Linked DNA regions of Cricetulus griseus. The protein of the gene in region 2 interacts with the protein of the main gene of each other region in a pairwise test. Links are inferred from orthologs where the notes say so. Each region holds a gene or a part of one and is shown on either strand. Other genes may lie near its edges.

The links. The genes of interacting proteins can lie anywhere in the genome.
Region 1: the proteins of Dzip3 (region 2) and Hnrnpf interact in binary tests that used the Homo sapiens proteins (3 or more experiments, as listed by UniProt). The two-hybrid records come from large-scale screens. The link is inferred for Cricetulus griseus from reciprocal best matches to the Homo sapiens genes DZIP3 and HNRNPF.

Annotation. Positions count from the first base shown.
Region 1 is NC_048601.1:27,020,326-27,026,196, forward strand, and holds the start of Hnrnpf (heterogeneous nuclear ribonucleoprotein F), read right to left. Parts: upstream 3,969-5,871; 5' UTR 3,820-3,968; intron 3,587-3,819; exon of another isoform or gene 3,448-3,586; intron 2,851-3,447; exon of another isoform or gene 2,718-2,850; intron 1-2,717.
Region 2 is NC_048597.1:42,083,424-42,088,599, reverse strand, and holds part of Dzip3 (E3 ubiquitin-protein ligase DZIP3), read right to left. Parts: intron 2,475-5,176; 5' UTR 2,405-2,474; coding exon 2,373-2,404; intron 899-2,372; coding exon 826-898; intron 1-825. UniProt on the Homo sapiens protein: E3 Ubiquitin ligase proteins mediate ubiquitination and subsequent proteasomal degradation of target proteins.

The sequences.
Region 1 (5,871 bases), on a different chromosome or scaffold from region 2:
TCCCAGAACTCAGGAGTAGCAAAGGGAATGAAAAGCTGCTGTAGTCTGATGTTGGCATGTTCCTGGTATATACCCACACCCACTTTCACATGTCTGTGTAATATAGGTTAATTTTTTTTAACTTTTTATGGAAAACTAATGGCTGCTCAGTATGAACACCTCAGTATGGTGTTCTTAAACTGAGTTCAATTCTTCCTCTTCTGTGAGACCCTAAGAGTCCTCCACTAACACAACATTGGAGACAGGAGCCCTAAGCAATGGAAGGCAGTTCATGTCAGACCTAAGTTCCAATTCCCATTGCGTCCCTGGTGATTTCTTTGAGTCTCCATTTTCTCTTTGTACCATGGATTAAGAACAAGATTATCTTCAGTTTTCACAAATATCCAATCAGAAAGAACATGTAAAACATTTCATGCTGTGCCCGGACCTAGCCACACTAATGTGGGTAAACCCACTGAACTCTTCTACCTCCAGATTCTCAGAGCTTTAGCCACATGGGCAGAGACTTCTACTTACCTAGTATTTTCTTTTAAGCTATTTGTTTGGGGTTTTTTTGTTGTTATTTTTGGTTTTCCAAGAGTGTTTCTCTGTGTAGACCAAATTGTCCTCTCAGAGATCATCCATCTGCCTCTGCCTCCCATAAGCCTGGATTCTAGGTGTGCACCTCCTCTAATACCTTTAATCCCAGTAATCCACAGCACTAGAGGCAGAAGCAGGCAGATTTCTGTTTGGGGTCAGCCTCGTTTATAGTGAGCAAACTTAATGAGATCCTACCTCATAAACAGAGAAAACAAAGTTAAACATTTTTCTATTTAATTGTTTATTTTAGAGTCAAGATGCCCAGGCTTTTCCTTCAACTCACTAGTAACCCAGCATTGCCTTGATCTTGGCCCACACAGAAACATGCATACACATATAGTAAAAGACTCTATCTCAAAGTTAACAACAAAAAACAGACACAATGGGACAGGGTATGTGATCCAGAGGGTATGGAGTGCTTGCGCACCATGCCCAGTACCTATTAAGGGGGTGTGGTGGTCCTGTCATCTAAGCAATCTAGAAGTGAAGCTGGGTGATCAGGAATTCAAGATCATATTCAGTGACTACATAGTGCTTTGGAGGCCCAGCCTACTCCCACCACCCAAAAGACATACCACCAAAAAAATAAAAACTTTCTACTTCTATGGAGATGGTGGTACATGGGAAGCAGAGGCCAGTCTGGTCTCCAGATTGAGAGCCAGGATAGCCGCAAAAGCTACACAGAGAAACCCTGTTTCGAAATACCAAAAAAAAAAAAAACCCAAACAAACAAAAAACTATGTATACAACACAATAAACTAAGTATCCCTCATTACCAATCTCTCAACTTTCTCTGGAAATATAAACCTTCCACTTTAAAACGAAAATATTGTCAAAAATTAGCACCAAAACTACTACTTCACTGACCTATTTTTGTCTACCCAAAAAGCCTGAAATATTTCTATTTTTACTAAAAATTCATAAGCATTAACTCTTAAAAAGTACTTGGAGATCGTTAACTGTGTAAAGACTTATTGCGGGAGCCGGGTGTTGGTGGCGCACGCCTTTAATCCCACCACTCGGGAGGCAGGTGGATCTCTGTGAGTTCAAGATCAGCAGCCTGGTCTACAAGAGTTAGTTCCAGGACAGCTTCCAAAAGCCACAGAGAAACCCTGTCTTGAAAAACAAAAACAAAAAAAAATAGAAAAGAAGTTTTTTATTGCCGGGAGGGACCTGAGCTCAAAAATCTCTGAACACAATATGGAAGGCCTGGCCCCATATGTCCCTGACCTCTACTCGGCAGCACAAAGGAAACTTCTCTCTAAAATAGTAACTATTACAAGACATCTTATGATTTGATCAATTAAATGATTTTTAATTATTTCAAAACTCTCCGGTATCGACCGGCATGGTGACGCACTTCTTTAATCCCAACACTCCAGGCAAAACATCTCTGTGAGTTCGAGGTCAGCCTGGTCTACAAGTGAGCTCCAGGATAGCCAGGACTACACAGGAGCCGTCTGGAAAAAACAGCAAAATAAAACAAAACCCACACTTGATAGGAACTCGAGCTGCCAAGCACATGACCTCAGTTCGATCCCCGAGACCCACACTCCTGGAAGAGCCATCTCTCAAGGTGTCGTCTTACATCTAACCCCCTCCCCCACTCACACACAAATCCGCAAACAAAAAGAAAAGCTATAAAGAAGCCCTCTCGGTTCTTCGAAGTTCCGGCAGTCAAAGACACACTGGAGCCTAATCCCGCACAGCCGCATGGCGGCCTCCCACGCTGCGCGCTCGCCCAACCACTCTGGAGCCCCAGTCACAGGCCACAGGTCTCCAGCACTTGTGGCAGGTAGGAGAGGCCCATTCGTTTGTGCCCCGGGACTCCGGGGCAGGAAAAGTCGCGTCGGGCGCTCAAAGTTATGGAGCACGTGGGGCTGCCTCGCGGGTACGCGCAGGGCGGCTGGGGCCAGCGTCCGGCCCTGTCGGGAACGCTCCCGAGAGCGCGCGCGCGCCAGGGAGGGAAGGAAGGCCGGAAAGACCCACACCAAGTTTCACCGGAACCGTAAAGATCCACAAACACATCCAAAGAAAGTTCACGGAACAGCAGCAAACACCCGACCGACCTCCCTAGGTCAAGATCCCTCCTCCTCCTCCACCACCGCCAGCACCACCCGCAAACGCCAGCACGCTACCTCCGAAGGGCCCGGATCCACACAGACTGGGGAATGAGAGACTCCCGGGTCGCCACGAGGAGGAAGAGGCGGTCGGCTCGCTCGGGGCAGGAGTGGGAGGAGGGCGGAGTCGTCGTCCCTCCGCCCAGTCTTGTGAAACTCTGGCCGCCTCCAACCACGTGAGCGGCCGCTTTCCTTTTTCAAAACTGCAACCAGCGCCCGCCCGGGCCTACCCGCGGAGGGCAGAGCGTGTTCCGCCGCGGGGGGTAAACGCTCCGCCCTGCCCCCCCCCAAACAACCCGCGTCGGCCGAGCCGCGTGCGAGCAGCGCCGGCGGGCATGGCCCTCGGCGGAAGCCGCTCTCCAGGGCGTGGGCCTCGGATGCGGGGGGGGGGGGGGCGAGCCCCACACCTCGGTCCCCGCGGCCGGACCTCAGCCTACCAGAGTGACTCCAGACTTCGGATCCCGCGTCCGTCCCCTTCCCCCCGACCCCCTCCGCCAGGCCGCAAACCTCAGCCACGCGGCCGGCCCGGTCCGAAGTGCTCCCAACTTGGACCGCCAGACATACTCTCAACTTCGGCTCTGGACCCCGACCCCACGCCTCGCCTCCGCCGTCCCGAGCCCCGACGGCCAGCCTCGCACCGCCACGGGTGTGCGGCTCCCCCCTCGGACCGGTCCTCTCCTATGGCCGAGCCCCACGGCCCGACGCCCCAAGGGCCCGGCCGCCAGCCCACCCGGTTGGCGACCCTCACCTCGGGCTCCTTGTCTCCACGCTCCCTCTCACATCCGGAACCTCGCCGGCCCTCAGAGCACCTAGAGGAGGGTGGAACCCCGGGGACTTGGCAGTTGTAGCTGAGGCAGTTGAGGCTTGTTTACTGTCACCATGGAAACCCCCAGAAGCGCGCTCGCGGTGGGGCCTCCGCGGAGCGACTCAGCCGCGCGGGCCGGCCTGGTCCTCAACTCCCGCCCGTCGAGCGCCCGCCGCGCTTCCGGGAGCCCTCCTGGCCCCTGGCCCGTTCCCCGCTCGACCCACGCCCCGAGCACCCGGAAACAGTAGCCCGGGAAGCCCACTTTCCCTTCCCACAGCCGGCGTGACCGCGGGCCGGCCTTCCCCCGAACCCCACCTTCAGGAAGACGAGGCGCAGTCCTCCTTCCACGACGAAGCCGGAAGGATACAAGACCGTGGCGGGGCGGAGCCTCAGGCAGCGGACATCCGGGCACCGGGCCGCCACGGCGCCATTCTGACGAGCCCAAGTCCGAGCTCAGGATTGGCCAGCCAGGCGAGGGGCGGGGCCGGGGAATGTGGGCCGGCCTCTGAATGCAGGAAAGGACAGCGACGGCGCATGCGCACACCTCGGGGGAGCCAAGCGGCGGAGGGGGAGGAGGGGGAGGGGGGAGGGAAGGGAGGGGGCGGGCGAAGAGGGGAGCAAGGTGGAGGGTGGTCCATGGAGAGCCTCACGACTTGTGGGCTGTGGGAGGACGCCGGGTGGTGCACGCGCGTTTCCGCACCCGGAAACTTGAGCCCCAAAGGTTCAATAACCGCGCGCGAGCGGAAAACTAGCGTCGAGTCTTACGTAAAAAGAAAGAGCGCCTAAGGGCGTCTCCGAGGCTCCGTCTTGAGGGATTTGTACCAAGTTGCTCCAAGCCCCCAGCGTCAGGGTTTTGAGTTTCAGACTGTCAGCACTTCCCGGAGTGGAGGGGTTAGATTTTTTCGATGTATATATAATTTGCGAGGCTTCTTCGTGAGATGTCAAGATACAGGCTGAGTTTAAGATTACCAACACCACAGAGCCTCCTAGGCGGGCGTGGAGACGCGCGCTGGTGATCTCTGCAGGGAGCGGGTCCAGGCTGCATGGTTGCCAGCCGCTGTCTAAACAATGGAGAAATTCACAAAGTAGTCTCCGGTTATAAGCGGACGATAGCGATGAAGGAAAAGTTCATAAAAACAACACACCAGGCTGACTCAAAAAAAAAAAAATAACAGGAGAAAACTAACTTTCAGAGGAGAAACTGTCTCCAAGAATAAAAAGAGAGGCCAAATGATAGAAAACAAATCCTACAAAAGTTAAATACGTATTCATGTGTATATTGAACATTAAGTCCAGTTACTCAGCACAAGTTTTACCAAACTGTGCACCACTTTGTACTGGGGAGGGAGAGCGTTAGGATCTCTCTCTCTCTCTCTCTCTCTCTCTCTCTCTCTCTCTCTCTCTTTATTGTTGTTTTTGTTTTGTTTTTTGAGGCAGGATTTCTCTGTGTAGCTTTGAAGCCTGTCATGGAACCCGCTCTGTAGACCAGGCTGGCCTTGCCTCTCTGCCCCTCTACCCCTCTACCCCTCTGCCCCTCTGCCTCTGCTGGGATTAAAGGTTTAAAGGAGTGCTCGACCACCACCCAGTGAGTTAAGATTCTTAGTGTGCTCAGTGTGGAGGAGTCAGAATGTATCACCTTGCTGGTTTGGAAGTCAGAGGTCAATTCTGGGGCATCTATCTCTCCAATTATATGGGTGAGGTCCTGGATTAAACTCGGGTTGGCAGGCTAATGCAGCAAGTGCCTTTAACTGCTAAGACATCGCACACTGACTTTCGGGGTTTGTTATTGATTTTTAAAGTTTATACTATTGGTTGAGGCAGGTGCAAGTGCCTTCCAACCTTACGGAGGCCAGAGGGCAACTTTTCCTGTGTTGGTTTTTTTATTTACCTTTATGTGAGCTCCAGGGATCGAATTTAGGTTATCAGACTTTCACAGCCAGAGATTTCATTTGCTAACTCTCTCTCCTGTCCAAGCTGTCCTCCAAATCCTAAGCAATCCTACTATTTTAGTATTAGGTTAGTGTGATTATTTTGCTTGTTAGTTGCATCATGGTGTATGTCTGGATATCAGAGGACAACCTTCAGGATTTGATACTCTCCTTTCACCATGCGGGCCCCAGACATAGAACGTAGGTCGTCAGGCTTGGCAGTAAGTACCTTTACCCTCTGGGCCATCTCACCATATACCCTTCTGATTTTTTTTTAAGATTTATTTTTATTGATGTCTGTGTGTATGCAGGTCAGTTGAGTGTTCACCATATGGGGGTGCTTGTGGAGACCAGAAAAAAAGGTGGGAATTCTCTGGAGCTGGAATCATAGGCAGTTGTCTGTTGCCAAATGGTGCTGGGTACTGAACTTGGATCATCT
Region 2 (5,176 bases):
TAGCATGTGAGTATGGGCCATTAAGGAAAACTTATGGGAAGAAAACTACTTGAGAAGTAAAATGCTAGGCTTATAATAAAAAATTATGCATTTTTCCCTCTATGTATGTATGGGTACCCTGTGTGTGCTTAATGTCCATAGAGGCAAGAATTAGGCATGAGATCTTCTAGAACTAGTAACAGACAGTGGTGAGTTTCCATGTGGGTACTGAAAACTAGATCAATGTCCTTGCAAGATCATCAAGTATTCATAACTTTTATGCCATCTCTCCAAGCTCTCAATAAGTTTTAAATTATTATATAACTCAGGCCCATTATCTTCCACTTATACTTAGAGGCTCTAGCAGTAAACATAATAAAATGAAAAGAATTAGTTTCACAAATAAATCAATAAAACTTTTTGATAAATGAAATTCCAGATGTGTTTTCCTTCATCTGTGTGTGTATGTATGTAAATACATACACATATTCTTAACTTGATTTTGTTTGAATTTTTCTTTGCATACATAAATGAGGTTAGGAGGATATATAATGTTTGCCTAGTATGATTTCATCCATAGTACTGCAAAGAAAAAAACACTAACAAATGAAACCTGATTTTTATAATGTTTCTGGGTAAGTTCAATTTAATGGATTTCAACTCCTCATGAGGATTAGAATATCCTTGACATACAGCATCAATCATCCCAGAAATAATTATGAAAAATTTACTTTTTCAGAAAGTGACTAAGAATTTTATAACTACACTTAGCATTGTAACTTCATATACAAATGAATCAACTCATTGCTAATTACTAAATGTTAATAAAAATTAATTTTCTCTTACCAGCTGACTGATTGGTTTCTCTACTTTATTCTCAGTTTCTTCCTTGGTTTGCTCCTCCACATCAGGATCTCCACTTAAATATTAAAAAAAAGGGGGGGCAGTATTAAGAATGTCTCACAAAGATTATAAATTGTAGCAGTAAAGAATCAAAGAATAGAGTCATCTAGACTTTCAAAAGTATCATAAATGTCTATCAAAGACTAAAGTAGGTATGGGTACCATATCTCTTTGGAGGCTGAAGTTAAAAAAAAGCTATGGTAGAGAAACCAGCAAAGTCATATAACCAACTCCTTACATTTACCAGATGCACAACAGACAAACATATGGGAGAAAAACCTTAGCAACAGAGCTGTGGAGATGGCTCAATAGGTAATATGCTTGTGCTGCAAGATTAAGAACCAAAGTTTGGATTCCTAGTACTCAAGTTAAAAGTCAGGCATCACAGCACATTCCTATAACACCAATGCTGCTGTGATGGGGGATGGGTAGAGTTCCCTGGCCAGCCAGAAGAGTAGAAAGAGGAATTGAAGGTTCAATAAGAGATGTTTCCTCAAAACGTAAGGTCAGTGGTAGAGGAAGACATTTGACAATGATCTCTGTCAAAGATCTTCTACACACTTCTGCAAGGCTGAATGTGCACCCACACAGACCAGACACACACTGATACACCACCTACAAGCTTACAGCATTATAGCAAGGTGAAAAAATATCTTTGAAAAGGATGATCTTCTTTTTATGTGTTAGTATGTATGAAAATAAAAAGGTTAGGAAGATGTGTGTGTATACATATGTGTGTATTTTTTCTAACTTCCACAGTAAAATTAAGTACATAACCTTGATTAGTCCTCATCTTCTTCTGTACACAAACAAAACCCCTTATCAAGATTCACAGGGATGACTCTCCACTAAGAAACCAGGCAGTGGTGAAGAGGATGCCATTGATGCCCTTCCCTTATAATGAGATTGATGCCTACCTTTGTTACCATTCCTAGACCCTTCATCCAGTTGCTGTTTGAAGCAGAAACAGGCACCCACAGCTAAGCACTGAACCATACTACTGGAATCTAGTTGTGGAGAGGGAGGAGGGATGAGCAAAGGAGCCAAGATAGGGCTGGAGAAACCCACAGAAACAGTGGACCTGACCTACTGATTGCATGGAGACCCTAGTCATAAAGCTGGGGAAACAGCATTGGACCAAACCAAGCCCTCTGAATGTGGGTGACAGCTAGGAGGCCAAGACAGTCAGTCTATGGGACCTCTAACAGTGGAGCCAGTCTTTATCCCCAGAGCACAAATGGACTTTGGGAGCCCATTCCCCATGGAGGGATACTATAGCAGCCCAGATACAGAAAGGAGGGCCTAGGCCCTCCCCCAAATGATATGACAGACTTTGAAGGTCCCTGGTGGAGGACCTCACTATGAGTTGGGGGATGTGTTGGGGGATGAGGGGGATGGATATATAAATGAGTAGTAATTAAAGAATTTAAATAAAAAAGAATGCGTGATATATTAATAGTTGAAAAAAACTACTGCAGGTAATTCCTTACCTCACAAAAAATTCTTCTGTTAGAGAATCCATGGCACAAAATGTTTCTTCATAAGACCTATTCCAATGCTTGCAAACTAACTTGTATTATGGCCATTTGAACCTGTAAGAAAAAAATAGTATTTCTAATAGGAAGATAGAAAATTTTTCTTTCTCCCCTGTATAGACCAGTATGTGGTTACATTTTAAATTTCTTAATATTCCTATAAAATAATATAGTTTCAACATCCAAATATACTCACCACCTAGAATTTACATTTCCCTGGACATGGGTATATATTATCAGTCTATAATCATATTAAAATAGTCTCTCTTTTTTTGTAGCACTGAATGCTATAAAACCAGCTTTTAAGTTATTTTGGTTTTCAGCATTACACAACAGTTGCATTTTGTGTTCTCTCTTCCTGGGAGCTGTGCTTAGAACCTTGTGCAAGCTAGGCAAGCACTAAATCTACCATGCAAGCCCACCCCTACCCTTATTTGGCATTTCATTGGTTTCTATTTCTAGTAGTTGAGAATTTTTTACAGCACGCTTTGATCATATTCATGCTCCCAACTATCCCCAGATCACTCTTATTTCTCTACACATCCAACATTGAGTGTTTTTTTTTTTTTTTTTAATCTCATTAAGACCAGTTCGTACTGCTCAAATACTCATGGATGTAATACAAGATGGAACTAAACTGCCCTGGCTAGCTTGAACAGTATAAGTAGTACTTAAATTATGACGCTCCTGTGATTGAAGGCCTGTACTGCCACACATTTGATTAGAGTTTTCTTAAACATGTTCTTATGGCACACAACTAGATTTCCCATTTTCTTCAATTATAAATTGTTCTGCAAACTCCATTGGCCTATAACCCTTTTATTATATTAACGGTATTTCTTTACAATAAGATTATATTAGAATTGGTAGACCAAAAGATAACACTATTGAGTTCACTGATGCATATTGTCAAATGGCTTCCTATAGGGGAATTATCAGTTCCTGTTCATTTATAATACTAACAGCAGTGAACATTTTTTCTTTTCAGAATAAAAATGCTACATAGCCACTTTCCTCTGCAAGCCATATAACTTTACAGCTCCATAAAATAAGATGCGAGATATAATAAGCTCTTGCATAGTCCCCAGCTCAAATATCAAAGAACTTCTCCTCCCCACCCCCCACAAAAACAAGACAGGGTCTCACTGTGTGTTCCTAAAACTTACCACATAGACCAGGTTGGCATTGAACTCAGATTCTCCTGCCTCTGACTCCAGAGTGCTGAGATTAAAGGCATATGCCACCACCTAGCTAAGATTGGTATAACTTTTAAAAGCCTTTTAGCATATGTAATTTCCATATCAAGAAAATACATGCCATAAGATTCATCTATTAAGAAATCAGATGGTATTTAAAAAAACATTGCTTTATGATGTTAGAGAGTACTGAAGGACCAGAACCCTTGTCTGGCATGTGTATCTACATATTAGTGAACTTAAAATGGGAGGTGGTAATCTACCCTGGTACAAGAGGCATAAGTTCTATAGAGAGCACTGCAAAGCAGCCATGGCCTATGAAACCTCGACACTCCGAATATTCTATACTGACTGTGACTGCTAAGTAACACAGAGATTAGAAAGGCAAGAATCATTCAACAATCTAACACTACTCAAAGGACAAATGCAAAGACACATAAGCATGAGGGGAGACATTCTGCAAATTTCCTCATCAAAAACAGAGCTTTCTAACACCTCTCATTTCTTGCCAGTCCTCAACAAAACACTTCTGTGTATCAGCTTTAGTAGTAAGTATTTACAATTAAGTTCTTTGTGGTAAATTTTTTATCTTATGGTTTTACTAAGTAAGCAAAAATCATAATCAGTCACATTAAATGTATATTACTGACAAAAGACACAAGCAACAGCTAGTAATGAAAAAGAGAGAGGATGAGTAATTTTCATACTGATTAGATCTGCATCATATCTTAAAATAAAAATACAGCTTTGGGCCGGGCCTTTAATCCCAGCACTTGGGAGGCAGAGGCAGGCGGGTCTCTGTAAGTCTGAGACCAGCCTGGTCTACAGAGCAAGTTCCAGGACAACCTCCAAAGCAATACAGAGAAACCTTGTCTCGAAAACAAACAAACAAAATACAGCTTTGGGAATTTTGTGATTCTGTGAATTTATGGTTTCTGTAAACCAAAAAGGAACAGCCAATAAAACATTATTCCATAACTGTAACACAGACACACATTTGTCTTTCCTGGACATCCCAGATTTATTAAAATTCAGACACAGAGACCTTGTTCTCAGTAAGGTCTCCTTTAATTAGTAATTGTGAAGATCATGGGAAAGATTTGCATAAAGAGGAAAATCTTCTGGCTACAAGGTAGAAGGCAGAAGTCCTCTTTAAGCTGTTAGGTATTAAGGTGAAAAAAAAGTGAAAAAATTAATAAACCAAGACATTTATATACTGAATTAATATTTAAGAAAGGCTAGTTGCTTTTCTGCCTGTTTAAAATACAACCTGAGACAAATATGTATAAGAAAATATCCAGGAGAACAATTATCAATGCTATTACTCTCTAGTAGCTGTGTGTGTGTATGTGTGCACACGAGCATGCACCTGCATGTGTCTAGCAGGAGCAATCACATTTTACAGCCTCAGCTGGGAAGGCCTGAGTGCCTAGCAACCAAAAGGAGGCAGCCAGACTGAAATGTTACCAGTGTCCAACTGCAATAAGCCAGTAGTGCTTAACTTTGTAGAAGAGGTCAAAAGAAACCTTTAAAGTCAGGACTAACAGAGGAGAAAAGTGAATT